3 linked regions of the Callithrix jacchus genome follow. The protein of the gene in region 1 purifies or fractionates together with the protein of each later gene. This does not show direct contact. Links are inferred from orthologs where the notes say so. Each region holds a gene or a part of one and is shown on either strand. Other genes may lie near its edges.

Evidence for each region. Proteins that work in one complex are often made in the same cells at the same time.
Region 2: the proteins of ATP6V1A (region 1) and ATP6V1F fractionate together in Homo sapiens (co-fractionation; 3 studies listed by BioGRID and IntAct, with this or other methods). This does not show direct contact. The link is inferred for Callithrix jacchus from reciprocal best matches to the Homo sapiens genes ATP6V1A and ATP6V1F.
Region 3: the proteins of ATP6V1A (region 1) and ATP5F1C fractionate together in Homo sapiens (co-fractionation; 3 studies listed by BioGRID). This does not show direct contact. The link is inferred for Callithrix jacchus from reciprocal best matches to the Homo sapiens genes ATP6V1A and ATP5F1C.

The regions. Positions count from the first base shown.
Region 1 is NC_133516.1:103,480,498-103,484,726, forward strand, and holds the start of ATP6V1A (V-type proton ATPase catalytic subunit A), read right to left. Parts: upstream 2,801-4,229; 5' UTR 2,502-2,800; exon of another isoform or gene 2,386-2,501; intron 2,061-2,385; exon of another isoform or gene 1,966-2,060; intron 1-1,965. Other genes in the region: NAA50 (N-alpha-acetyltransferase 50), read left to right, coding at 3,163-3,170. UniProt on the Homo sapiens protein: Catalytic subunit of the V1 complex of vacuolar(H+)-ATPase (V-ATPase), a multisubunit enzyme composed of a peripheral complex (V1) that hydrolyzes ATP and a membrane integral complex (V0) that translocates protons.
Region 2 is NC_133512.1:118,317,782-118,321,901, reverse strand, and holds the start of ATP6V1F (V-type proton ATPase subunit F), read left to right. Parts: upstream 1-1,320; 5' UTR 1,321-1,402; coding exon 1,403-1,560; intron 1,561-4,120. UniProt on the Homo sapiens protein: Subunit of the V1 complex of vacuolar(H+)-ATPase (V-ATPase), a multisubunit enzyme composed of a peripheral complex (V1) that hydrolyzes ATP and a membrane integral complex (V0) that translocates protons.
Region 3 is NC_133508.1:6,148,765-6,152,893, reverse strand, and holds the start of ATP5F1C (ATP synthase F(1) complex subunit gamma, mitochondrial), read left to right. Parts: upstream 1-1,329; 5' UTR 1,330-1,361; coding exon of another isoform or gene 1,362-1,417; intron 1,418-4,129. Other genes in the region: KIN (DNA/RNA-binding protein KIN17), read right to left, coding at 981-1,094.

The DNA.
Region 1 (4,229 bases):
TATTTTCCCCTCTAGTAGTCAATGGCTTCTAACTGATTTTCTCTTTCCCATTTTGGTATCAGCCAGACAGGACTAGTTAGGACTTCCAGGGCACTTAAGAAATTCTCCTTTTGTGGTGCAATGTCACCTGGTCAATGAAGTAACACTTCCTTTTTTCCCTCTCTCCTCTAGAAATCAAGGAAATCTTATTATGGAGAAAATTAACGGCTAAAACTATAAATATATATACACAGACACACATACACACATACATATACATGCACACACACACAAATATATCAAAAGCAGGCATGGTGACATACATGTATTAATATAGTAGTCTATTGTCCAGTATGGATCCTAAGTACAAAATACTAAAACGGTAAATCCACAAGAGATAATAGTAATCCTCTTCACTACTTGGGGAAAGCAACATCTTCATCTCCTTGTTTCCTAGCAAGGAGCATCAATAAGCCAGGTTGTGCATTTTGAACTTACTATAAAAGTACTTTGTTAAATTGCTACTATTCTAGAATATTAACTTTTTGTTCTCCTTAACAAAATAAGGCCAGTTTATTGTATAGCATTTGGAAGACACAGAAAAACAAAAATAAATCAGCCACATCCACCACTCAAAGGTGATTCCATCTTCCTCATTTTTCAGCAGTCTTCTTTAATTATCTTAGAAAACTACAAGATTTAACTGAACATACTATTTTTCATATTAAGGTGTAATTTAAATTTTAAATACAAAATTTGTAATATTTGTAACAGTGAAAAGAAGCATGGAACCTTCTGAGTTTGCAGTACAAATAAAAAGAGTTTAACCACAAACCGAAAAACATTCTTCCCTAAAGCCCGTGGCTTGGGGTCAAAACACTGGTAATACATTACAGACAGAATGGGAGTACTCAGGTTGGACAACACCTGGGCAAAACAACTGTATTTTCACAAAATACTATTCATCAAAATTTGAAGAGGACACCGGGAGTTTTACAATTGGGAAAATTTAGGAGGGATACAAATTCTACTTCACCTAAATTTACTATAAAGCGGGTCGAGGAATATTCTGGGAGTGGCAATTTAGTAATATCTTAGGGGACAAGGACAAAAAGGGAAAGATTAAAGGCAGAAAATATGTGCAGACAGCAACATCTCGACTTGATTCTACCTTTAAGCATACGGCCAAATGAATCCGGTTTAACAGTATTTCCAACCCAGTCAGTTTCTTACTTCGGTTTCAAGGAACCCTACTCACTTTTCCCTAAACTAGCCCGGGCCCCCCGCACACCACGACACCACAATACCATCTTTCAACGCCTCCTCATTCAATCGAGACTGTCGCATTACTAACACCCCCTGTTTTGGAGACAGTGTTCCTTCAACTGTCCTCTCCCTCAGAGAAGGAAAAGTAGAAGCCCTTCTTTCACCCTTCCAGTCCCATCTGAAGCACGTGAACATCTGCGGAACCTTCCCTGCAGGGATGTCAGATAAAACCCTTAGAATGACTGAGGAAGCACATTCGGAGGGAAGCTTCACAGCGACTCCGCAGTCAGGGCCGTATCTGACAGTCCCTCCCAAGCCCGTCTCACCGGAGACGCCTCTGCCTGCAGGGTTTTTGCCTCCTCCCCGCTCCTCAGCCCTGAGCTGAGGGTAAGGACGCTGAGGATCTCTGCCAAAGAATGGGCGTTAAGGAACAGGACCTAGTGTCTACTGCAGACCCTGTGGAACGGCTGAAATAATCTGCTACCCGAAGCCCCAAAGGCTCTGACTACAGAATCATCATGGCCGCACTCACTCCCAACCCTGGGAAAGGTGGACATCTCAATCCCCAAGTAGCGGGGCCGACCACACTTGGGGAAGGGGGAGTCAGGGGAAATGAGCTCCTTGCCCCTGCAGGGTGACAGCGGGGAAGAAGCCTCAGGCAGGGAGGTCGCCGTTCACACTCTCCCTCCTCTCTGCTCTGCCTTCTTCTACCCCTTTTACCTGTTCTGCCCCCACCACTCGCCAGTCACCGGCCGCCGCTCACCTGCTGGGGCGCGAGGTGCAGAGACGGTACCGAGCGAGGACCCAGAGGCTCTGTCACCACGGGCGGGGAAGTCCTCAGCTGCAGAGGAGGGGGGCGGGTCCAACAGTCATGTGACGTCCAGCTCCGCCCTGACTTCCCTCATCCCATCTCGCTACAACTTGGGGGCCCGTATTTTCACAGATTCCTTGAATATTAATCTCCTTAGATTAAAGAAATAAAGATGAATTTTCACAAGGACCGTGTTGTAAAGTACAACGTGGAAGACGCGGACAGCAAGGGCTAAAGCGCACTGCTAAGGAAGTGACGTTCACGCCGCTATCGAGGGACAGGAAATGGCGGCGGGGTTCCTTCCCTCCGGAAGCCGCCTGTAAAATTCCAGGCTCTGAGGTTGGGGTCCATCACGTGAGCTCAAAACTGGAAGCGTGCTGGAGAGTAACCGAGCGATCGGGCCCATCGCTAACTACGTCTAATTGTTTTAAGACACCTAACTTACCTGAGCTTTCCGCAGATTTATTTACATTTATTAGAACCAGCCTTACAAAACCCTAGTGGAAGGCAAGAGCGTTTGAAGGTCACTCTGGAGACCACACACCGGGAAGAAGGGGTCCGAGAAAGACCGATCGTGCGGATACGAGGCAGGAGAGGAAGGGGTGGAAAAATCTGGGTTTTACCGCCAGGGCCTACCGAGCCAGCCACACAAGTAGTGTAATAGGTGGGAGGGAGGAGAAGGACGCCGGAAGCTACAGTCCGGGAGAAAGATGGAGGCTCCGGGGTGGAGGGGGCAGGGTGCGCGGGGGCGAGCAGTGCGGCTGCGCGTGAGGCGGCGGACGCGCCGGCGCGCAGAGGGGCGGGGTGAAAGGTCACCGCGCGGCGGCTGGTCTGGCTGGCGGTAGCGGCGGGAGGGAGCTGAGACCCGAGCGCACGTGTGGGGAAGCGGCGGGACCTGCGCGGCGGAGGGAGACAGCCCCGCCCCCACCGGAGATTTAGGCCCTCGCTCGACTCTCGCGGCCTTCGGCGCTAGCTCAGCTCCTTGCCCCGGCCAGGAGGCCGGCTTGCGGGGTGGAGTGGTCCGAGCTGAGGGCGCGGAGACCGGAGGGCGGCGACGACGGCGGCGTTGATATCGGTGGTAACGACGGCCTCAGCAGGCGGGGAAGATGAAAGGGTGAGAAGGGCAGTTGGGCAGGGCTCGGCCGGCGGGGTAGAGGGGCCCGGGCGGGTGTCGCGGGGGAGAGCCGCGGAGGAGCGGAGTCTCGGGGCGAAGACCGGCGGAGGGAGATTTCTGGGCTTCTCAGTGCGGCCGCTCCCGGAGGGGGCGGAGGCGGGGCGCGGGCTGTTGGCGGGCTGAAGGGCCAGCGGAGCCCGGACCCCAGGGTCCCGGGGTTTCGGTCCGGAGATGAGTGCGGGCTGAGTGAGTGGGGCAACAGGGAAAGGCTACGGTGCGGCGCCTGCGGCCCCCTCCCGGGGTTGGACCACCGAGCCGCCCGGGCCGCCGCTCCAGGTGGAGTCGTTCGGTTGGTTTCCGTCTCCAGCCTCAACTCTGCAGCGGCGGTGTTTGGTTCACGCTCGGGAGCGGAGCCGAACCTTGCGGAGGAAGAGGAGGTTGGAATAGAGCGCAGAGCGCGGGGACGAGTATTAACAGCTAGTGACTCAACTAGATTTGGGTTGGGTCACAGCGGGGGGGGGCACGATCACGGTGGACTTGGGGAGCCAATATCTTCCAGGAAGTACCGCGTGGATCGGTAGGTGGCGCTATTGCTTTAGCAGCTCACCGTTGCCCCGAGTGCCGAGGGCTTCCTGGGTACTTTACCACGCTGCTCCCTTCAGGTGATCGGCAGACTAAATGTTCGCTCTTTCACCGTTTGCCTCTTGGATAAAATCAGGAATTATTTTCTATCGACTGCTTAAATTTTATTTTATTTTTTTCTTGAGATAGAGTCTCTGTCGCCAGGCGCCAGGCTGGAGTGCAGTGGCACAGTCTCGGCTCACCGCAACCTCCGCCTCCTGGGTTCAGGCAATTCTCCTGCCTCAGCCTCCTGAGTAGCTGGGATTACAGGCATGCGCCACCGTGCCCAGCTAATTTTTGTATTTTTAGTAGAGACGGGGTTTCACCATGTTGACCAGGATGGTCTCGATCTCTTGACCTCGTGATCCGCCCGCCTCGGCCTCCCAAAGTGCTGGGATTACAGGCTGGAGCCACCGCACCCGGCCTCGACTGTTTAAA
Region 2 (4,120 bases), on another chromosome or scaffold:
CTGCCCACCTCAGCCTCCCAAAGTGCTTTTTTTTTTTGAGACAGGATCTTGCTCTGCTGCTCAGGCTTAAGTGCAGTGCCCTGATCATAGTTCACTGTAACCTTGAACTCCTGGGTTCAAGTGAGCCACTCTACCTCAGCCTCTCAAGTAGCTAGAACTACAAGTGTGCAACCACCATGCCTGGCTAATTTTTTTTTTTTTTTTTTTTTTTTGAGACAGACTCTTGCTCTGTCACCCAGGCTGGAATGCAATGTCGCATTCTAGGCTCACTGCAACCTCCACCTCCTGTGTTCAAGCAATTCTCCTGCCTCAGCCTCCTGAGTAGCTGGGATTAGAGGCACCCGCAACTGCTTGTGGCTATTTTTTTTGTATTTTTAGTAGAGATGGGGTTTTGCCATGTTGGCCAGGGTAGTCTCAAACTCCTGACCTCAGGTGATCCACCTGCCTCAGCCTCCCAAAGTGCTGGGATTACAGGCATGAACCACCCAGCCTACCTGGCTAATTTTTAAAGTGTTTTGTAGACAGAGTCTCACTATGTTGCCCAGGCTGGTCTCCAACTCCTGAGCTCAAGTGATCCTCCCCCATCTCGGGAGCACTCCCAAAGTGCTGGGATTACAGGTGAGGCACCATGCCCGGCCTTACCAATTCTTTAACTTTCCCTGAAGGCCCTACGCTCTCTACTCAGTACGCCTTTGCATATACTGTTCCTTTGCCTAGAACACCCTCTTGTCCTCATTTCTATCCCCTTCATCCTGCAGGTCCTTCAGGTCTCAGCTTAGATGCGAAGCAAGTTTCTGGGGGAAGGGTTCTTTGGACGCCCCCTCTCTCCATGGGTTAGTTGCCATAGATGTGCGCTTCCATGTACTTCTTACATTCTAACAATTAACACACAGCTTTGTAATCGCCTGTTCCCTTGACTTTCCACCTCACTAGACAGTATCATCACTAACTTCTGCATTCCTTTAATTGAACAGATGTGTATGAGTTAACTATGTGTCATACATACATACACAATAAAGACCCAGACCCTGCCCCTGAGAATAATCCCAGGAAACAGTAACTGCGTCTCTGCTCTGGGGTCTCGGCGTTTAACAGTGCCTGGTTCAAAACGCTTGTTTAACGAATGAACCAAGGAAGAAGTGAATGAACGAATGAATTCCCGCGAAGGACGTCGTGCCGCGCGGCCTTCTGGGAACCGTAGTCCGCTGGTTCGGGCCTGTCTTTACGGCGCAGGCGCATTCACACTGAGGCCGTGTTGCTGTTAATGCGCATGTCCCGGGAGGCGGCTGGGAGAACTGCGCATGCTCGAAGGGTGGGGGTGAGGCCAACGGGGAGCCGCACGGCGGAGGCGGGGCTTCGGTGGCTTCTGGTGCTCGGGGGTGATCTCTGCCCGGCTGCAGGGATGGCGGGGAGGGGGAAGCTCATCGCAGTGATCGGAGACGAGGACACGGTGACTGGTTTCCTGCTGGGCGGCATAGGAGAGCTTAACAAGAACCGCCACCCCAATTTCCTGGTGGTGGAGAAGGATACAACCATCAATGAGATCGAAGACACTTTCCGGTACGGTAGCCCGCGAGGCCTGAATGGGCCCTTCTGCTGCCGGATGGAGTGCGGGGCGAGGGCGGAGGTGGCCGGGGGACCGAGGCGTGAGGCCGGGACGCGGGTAAGGGGACGGTCTTGGAAGTCCGCCCGCCCTTTCGGAGCGGAGGCCTCCGCGCCCCAAGTTCCCGTTTGGGACTCGGTGGGACTGAAGCTGTATCAAGTCCACGAGCTCCCGTCTCACATGATCGTGTGTCAGGAAAGAAGGGGAACAGAGCTCGTGACGGGCACCGCCCGTCAGCACAACCTGTCCCCCTCCATGGCTGAGCGTTCAGAGCGCCCAGTCCCCGGCGACTGCCAACCTGGACGCCTGTTCCCAAGTAGGGCTCGGCTCTTTTGCGAGTTGCCCCCCTAAAGGAACCGCATCCCCGATGAGCACCTAGGCAGTGGGTTCGGACTTTGTTCTGCTTTCCCCTCCTTTAGAGGCTTACCATCGACCTGGAAGGCAGGGGTGATTTTGTCCTGTTTACAGGTGAGAAAACTAAAGCTCGGAGAGGTTAAGGCACACACCAAAGTCACGAGTCGACAGAGGCAGAGCTGGAATTTGAACCCAATCCCAACCCTTTCTGCCTCTGGTAAGCCAGGTACACACTCTGCAGCTCTCCTCAGTCGGCCTCGGAATTTCTCTTTGGTCCTGAGCACAGTAGGCAGAAAATATCAGGACTGTGAGAGCCTTCTGCTAAAACTTGCACTCAATCCCTCACTCCCTGACTTAGGTCAGGCATGCCTAAGTGTCGTCGAAGGCATGCCTTTAATCCACCTGGTGGCCTGGTGTCTGGAATTGAGGATACCAGCCGCCTCCTATTCTTTCCCTCACCTCATCTCCAGGGCCCCTGACCCTAGCCACTCACCTGTTTCCCCCTAAACAGCCCAGCCCAGGGCTGCCGGCTGAGACTGGTTCTTGCTGCCTGGGGTATGGTAGCCCCTGACCTGGGAGGCTGTTATCTGCCGATCTCTAAGCTGTCTGGTAAAGTGACCCAAGTTGTCATGGGAGAAGGACAAATTTTACTTCAAGAATTTTCCATGTTTCCAACCAAAAGGGACCTCAGAGAACAAATCTAACCCAGTTACCAGCTGGGGGTGGGTGCTCAGTAAATAATTTTTAACTGGCAAATAAACAAATGAGGCTGGTTCGGTGGCTCACACTTGTAATCCCAGAACTTTTGGAGGCCGAAGTGGGTGGATCACTTGAGGTTGGGAGTTTGAGACCAGCCTGACCATTATGGTAAACCCCGTTTCTACTAAAAATACAAAAATTAGCCAGGCATGATGGTGAGTGTCTGTAATCCCAGCTACTCAGGAGACAGGCGGGAGAATCGCTTGAACCCGCGAGGTGGAGGTTGCAGTGAGTAGAGATTGTACCACTGCACTCGAGCCTGGGTGACAGAGGGAGACCTGCCTCAAAAAAATAAAATAAATGAATGAATGGGTGGGTGATCACAGGAGACAAGGATCACAAGGCTAGGTTCTTTTTTGTGGAGAAAGTGTGATTCCCTCATCACTGAGTGCCCTCTTCCTAGCTTGTGATCTTGGTTCATGCCAAACTTTCCCTCGGACTCCTTCACCACCCTCATCATCTAGATCTTGAGGCCTTCACTAGTCTCATCCGCCCTAGTTTTAAAAAATTTAGTTTTTTCCATGGCCTTATTTATTTAAAAAAAAAAGTTTGTTTAAAAGTTAATGTGTCTTCTCTTTATTGTTTTTTTATTTTGAGATGGAGTCTTGCACTGTCACCCAGGCTGGAGTGCAATGGCTCGATCTCGGCTTACTGCAACCTCTGCCTCCTGGGTTCACGTGATTCTCCTGTCTCAGCCTCCTGAGTAGTTGGGATTACAGGTGCATACCACCACACCTGGCTACTTTTTTTGTATTTTTAGAGAGATGGGGTTTCACTGTATTTGAAACCCCATTTGAAGTTTGGACAGACTGGTCTCAAACTTCTGACCTCCTGATCCGCCCGCCTTGGCCTCTGAAAGTGCTGGGATTACAGGCGTGAGCCACTGCACCCAGCCTAATGTGTCTCTTTTTTTTTTTTTTCCTGAGTCGGGATATCTCTCCTATCACCCAGGCTGGCGTGCAGTGGAGTGTTCACAGCTCACTGCAGCCTCAACTTCCCAGGCTGAAGTGATTCTCCCACCTCAGCCTCCCAAGTAGCTGGGGCTGTAGCCTCTCAAGTAGTTGGCATGTGCTGCCACATCCAGCCAATTTTTTTATTTTGTGTGCTTGTGTGTGTGTGTGTGTATATTTTTTGTAGAGACAGGGTCTCACTATGTGGCCCATTTCGATCTCAAATTCTTGGGTTTGAGCGATCCACCTGCCTCAGCCTCCCAAAGTGCTGGGATTACAGGTGTAAGCCATCGAACCCAGCCATCGGTATCTGCTCATAAAAAGGGATCTGCGTACATATAATCTTATCATCCCCCTTCCTGACACCGTCCCTGCATGTTGAATACACCGTTGTGCACCCTTATTAATCTTCATTACCAGCTCACTTGGCAGCCTTCTAGGCAGTGTTGTAGAA
Region 3 (4,129 bases), on another chromosome or scaffold:
AAAAAAAGAGGAAGAGAAGTCTCTACTAGAGCTTGCTCTATTTGCTTTGTGAGGATAGAGAGGCAGCTTTCTGCAAACCAAGAAGGCCCTCACTAGAATCTGACCATGCTAGCACCTTGATCTTGAACTTCCCAACATCCAGAACTGTGAGAAATCAATTTCTGTCATTTAAACCACCCAGTCTACTGCACTTTATATGGCAGTCCAAGCAGTCTAAGACATTAGATAATGGACATATAGACATTCATTAATAGAGAGAACTAAAGAGAATAACTATCAATGTTAGTCAGTGTGAGTCCCACCTAAAATATCTCTTCCTTCACTCGTAGAAACACTAAATTAGATTATTCCAACTGCCTCAGTGTTCTTCCACCCTTACCCAATCCAGTCCAATCTCCGGAGGAAAATACGATCACATCACTAGGATGTGATCATTCCATCAACCACCTCTGTAATGGGGAGACGTGTAAACTCCATTGAGCAGCATACAAGGCTTTTCAAGATCTGCTCAGACTCCTTGAGCCACTCTTTATACACTGCACTCATTTAAAACTCAACGACAATCCTACAAGTAGGTGGAATTATTATTCCCTCTTTACAGATAAGTAAAGGAGAATAAGTAAGTAACTTGCCCAAGACCACACACGGCTGGCAAGTGGCCCAGCTTAACTTTAAATTTTGACGGTTTGATATATCTATAAACCAGATAAATCCATAATCTTAACCACAGTATTATTCTGTGCCGGGTACAGTGTAGGTCTCAATAAATGCTTGCTAGATGAGTAGTACGAAAGAGCTTAGCGCTCCTTTTTCACCTGATCCCAAAAGAGGTGTGAATCCTAACCACCCTGTTTCTCTTAAGAGCCAAGTCAAGTTAGAGCTGATGACTGTTACTGGCAGCCCTCGGCCCCGCATGCAGGACCTGATCCTGGACTCCCAGGGGCCCTCCTGGGAAGACGGGCCACCCCGGGCCCACTCACCTCGTCTCGGCACTGCTTCTGGCACATCTGACAATACCAGCGCAGCTTCTGCAACCCCTTGGACTTGATCCTGTTGGCGATCGCCTTGGGAGTAAGAAAATCCGACTTCCCCATGGCGACCACGGCAGCGATCACTTTCTAGACCCCAGAGCCCAGCCAGCCGGAAATGGAACTGGGCTGGCGGCAGTGGGCGGGACAAATCCCTGCTGTGAGGCGGAAGGAGGTGGGACTCTCGCATTACAACGCTCGCGAGACTCTCTTCGCTGTAGCGCGAGGAAATGAGACTGAAGAAGAGAGCGAAGTGGGAAGGGCGTGTTGGGAAGCTTCTGCGCACGCGCGCTGAGGCCTCAGTGACCGACCTTCAGCAGAGCTGCGGCTACCATGTTCTCTCGCGCGGGCGTCTCTGGGCTGTCGGCCTGGACCTTGCAGCCGCAATGGTATGAGAGCTTGCGGGAAGATCGCCAGGACTGCAAGCGATGGAAGAGCTCGGGCACGGGGCAGGGAAGGGGGGTTGGGCCCGGGGGCCGATCTGGAGTCGTAGGGCCTGCGCGGGCCCCTGACCCCTCGGAGGCGCGGGGTAGCGGGGGCTGCAGGATGCGGCTTTGAAGCCGGCGAGGCGTGCGCAGGGCCGGGTTCCGGCCGAGCCAGGTCCCGCCCCGTCCCCTGAGGCCGGAGAGCCACCTGGGACCTCCGGACTGCGGCCTCGGGTTCCCTCAGCTAATCAGTACTTCCTGAGCTTCCACTGCGAGCCAGGCCCCCATTCTCGGGGCCTGCAAGAGAGACCACCCAGTGGAAGGTTAAGTTGTGCTCTGTCCTTGACGCCCTTCGAAACCCTTCAGCGCTGGGCAGACTGACCCTTTAAGATCCGATCTAGTCACAGAGCGTGGCCGTCGAGCACCTCCCGTGTCGCGGGCGCTTTGCTGGGTGCTAGAACAGCGAAGGCGAGCATCCTCGATGCCCCTGAGGGTGGTCTAGCTGCAGAAGGGACCCTACAGATCTGTCTGATGGCGGGGAAGGGAAGGACACCTAGCACCGCCTTGAAACCACTTGCTGAAACCGTAACCCTGCAAGGTCATGAAATTGCCCGAAGGTTTTAGGCGAAGGAGTTCGGTGGGCTTTAAGTGGCGTTTGTTAAGTGCCATGCAGCCAAAGGGTGCCACGCGTCTCGAGAATTTTAAACAGTAGTTCCGGGTGGGGCGACCTGGGTTGGGGGAAATGCCTATTAGAAAGCCTGGAAGCCGGCAGGAAAAAGTTGGTTTGTGGGTGGTGCTGTTCAGTTTTGAAGCTTGACAGAATCTGGAAGCATTTCAGACACACTGCCAAGAGGAATATAGGCTGTGTCCTAGCAATTCCCTGCTGTTAACAGCATGGAGGATTTCTAAGGCGCTACAGTGCTAAACTAGATTTTTGTATCTTAATTTATGTGAAGGGTCCATAAAGCATTAGTTGAAATAAATACATTTTTCATTAGGCAGATAACTGATAGTGATATAGGAGATTTTCAGAATGAAATCTGATGTGAATTAGCCACATAAAAATTTTGGTGGCTTGGTCTTGGAAGTAAGATCTTTTTTTTTCTCTCTAATATGGAAAAAGAACATTCATGGGAATTAAAAGGTCACTATAGTTGAATTATCTGTTGTATAGACTGTCCCACTTGTTAACTGACCTGAGTGCCTGCACTGCGCCCGGTGGTACTGTGGGAAGTGCCAAAATGTGATAGTGAACAAATAGACGAGGTCTCAGTGAGCTTCCTGGGACAGCACCTGTCACGCAGTAGTGCTCTGCAAACATCAGCCCTCCTGTCCTTACCCTCTTGCCAGGCATTCATGTTACCTGTCAGTATTTTTAGAACCTTGGTTTCTAAGTTGATCTTTAAAAAAATGGAAAGAGTTTCTGAAACTAAGACAGAATATTTTACAAAATATTTTAGAAATACCTTTTTAAAAAAATCTGTAGGATCATTTGAAGCTCTTTTAGTAAAGGATCATTTTAAATAAGAGCGCTCTGTTGGAGACAACCACTGTTTGGAGCTTAAATCCGAACCTCAGTCAGCATATAAAGGTCCTAGTCCTGGCCTTAATCCCGTTGGAATATTGCTTTTAAATCATCAGTCGGCAGTGTTCCGCTTTAAAAATATAGTCTGTCCTCTTCCTTTTCATGCATTCCGTCACTCTTGGTGCTTAATGTCTCTCCCGCCCCTTCTGTTATTTTTCTTCCCACTAATTTAATTAACCTTTCGAATTCAAAAATTAAAACCACTCCACAGAACTAATTTGGAAGGGGGAAAAAATACCTTTGCCTTAACCAAACCATGAGGAGGCATATTTCCACAGTTCCGTTTTGATTACTGGAAGTTTTTAAAACTAGTTTGTTACTGTTTTAGTTTTTGCTTTCAGAGAGGTTATCATACTAACATAAACTAATCTTTAGGCTTACTATTAAGTAAGTTATGATCACAGTGGTTGTTTTAACAGTTGCTAGGGTATCGCCAAAATACCCTAACTTTTTGAAAATTAAGTTTTTTCATAAAGTAGCATTTAAGAAAACGGAAATAAAAAATTCAAGAGAAAGAGCCCCAGATTTTATTGTCTTCATGTCTGGGAAAAACGCATTTCTACTTCTTAGTGTTCAAAAGTCTCTAAAAGGGAACTGTTTTATAATAACGTGTCAGTAGTCGTAAACTATGTACACTCAAAAGGAGATGGCATTTCAGGACAGAAAAGACAGATTGTCATCTGAGAGCAGGAGGACAGATTTACTAGTAAATGTAAAAAATGTGAGGCAGCAGAGTGTAGTACTGTATACAGAGACTCTGTGGCCAGCCCTGAAGGGCTCCATTCAGACAGCAGGGATTGAATTCTGATTGCCACTTAGCAGCTCTGTGACCTTGCCTGGGTTACTTAGTGCCTGTCCCGCCAGTTCCTCATCTATCAAATACATGCAATAAAAGTACACGATTCAGTGGGTTGGGGTGAGGATGAGAGTATCTGCAAAGCATGTAGGACTGTGGGAGAACCAAACGCTGTCTATCAGTAGAAAAATGAAGTGTTTTTAAGTTTCTACATCAGATACAATGTCAGAAGATTGCTTGGACTTGCCAAAAGAGGAGGAGAGTATGCAGTCATGGGTGTGGGTTGGAGAAGTGT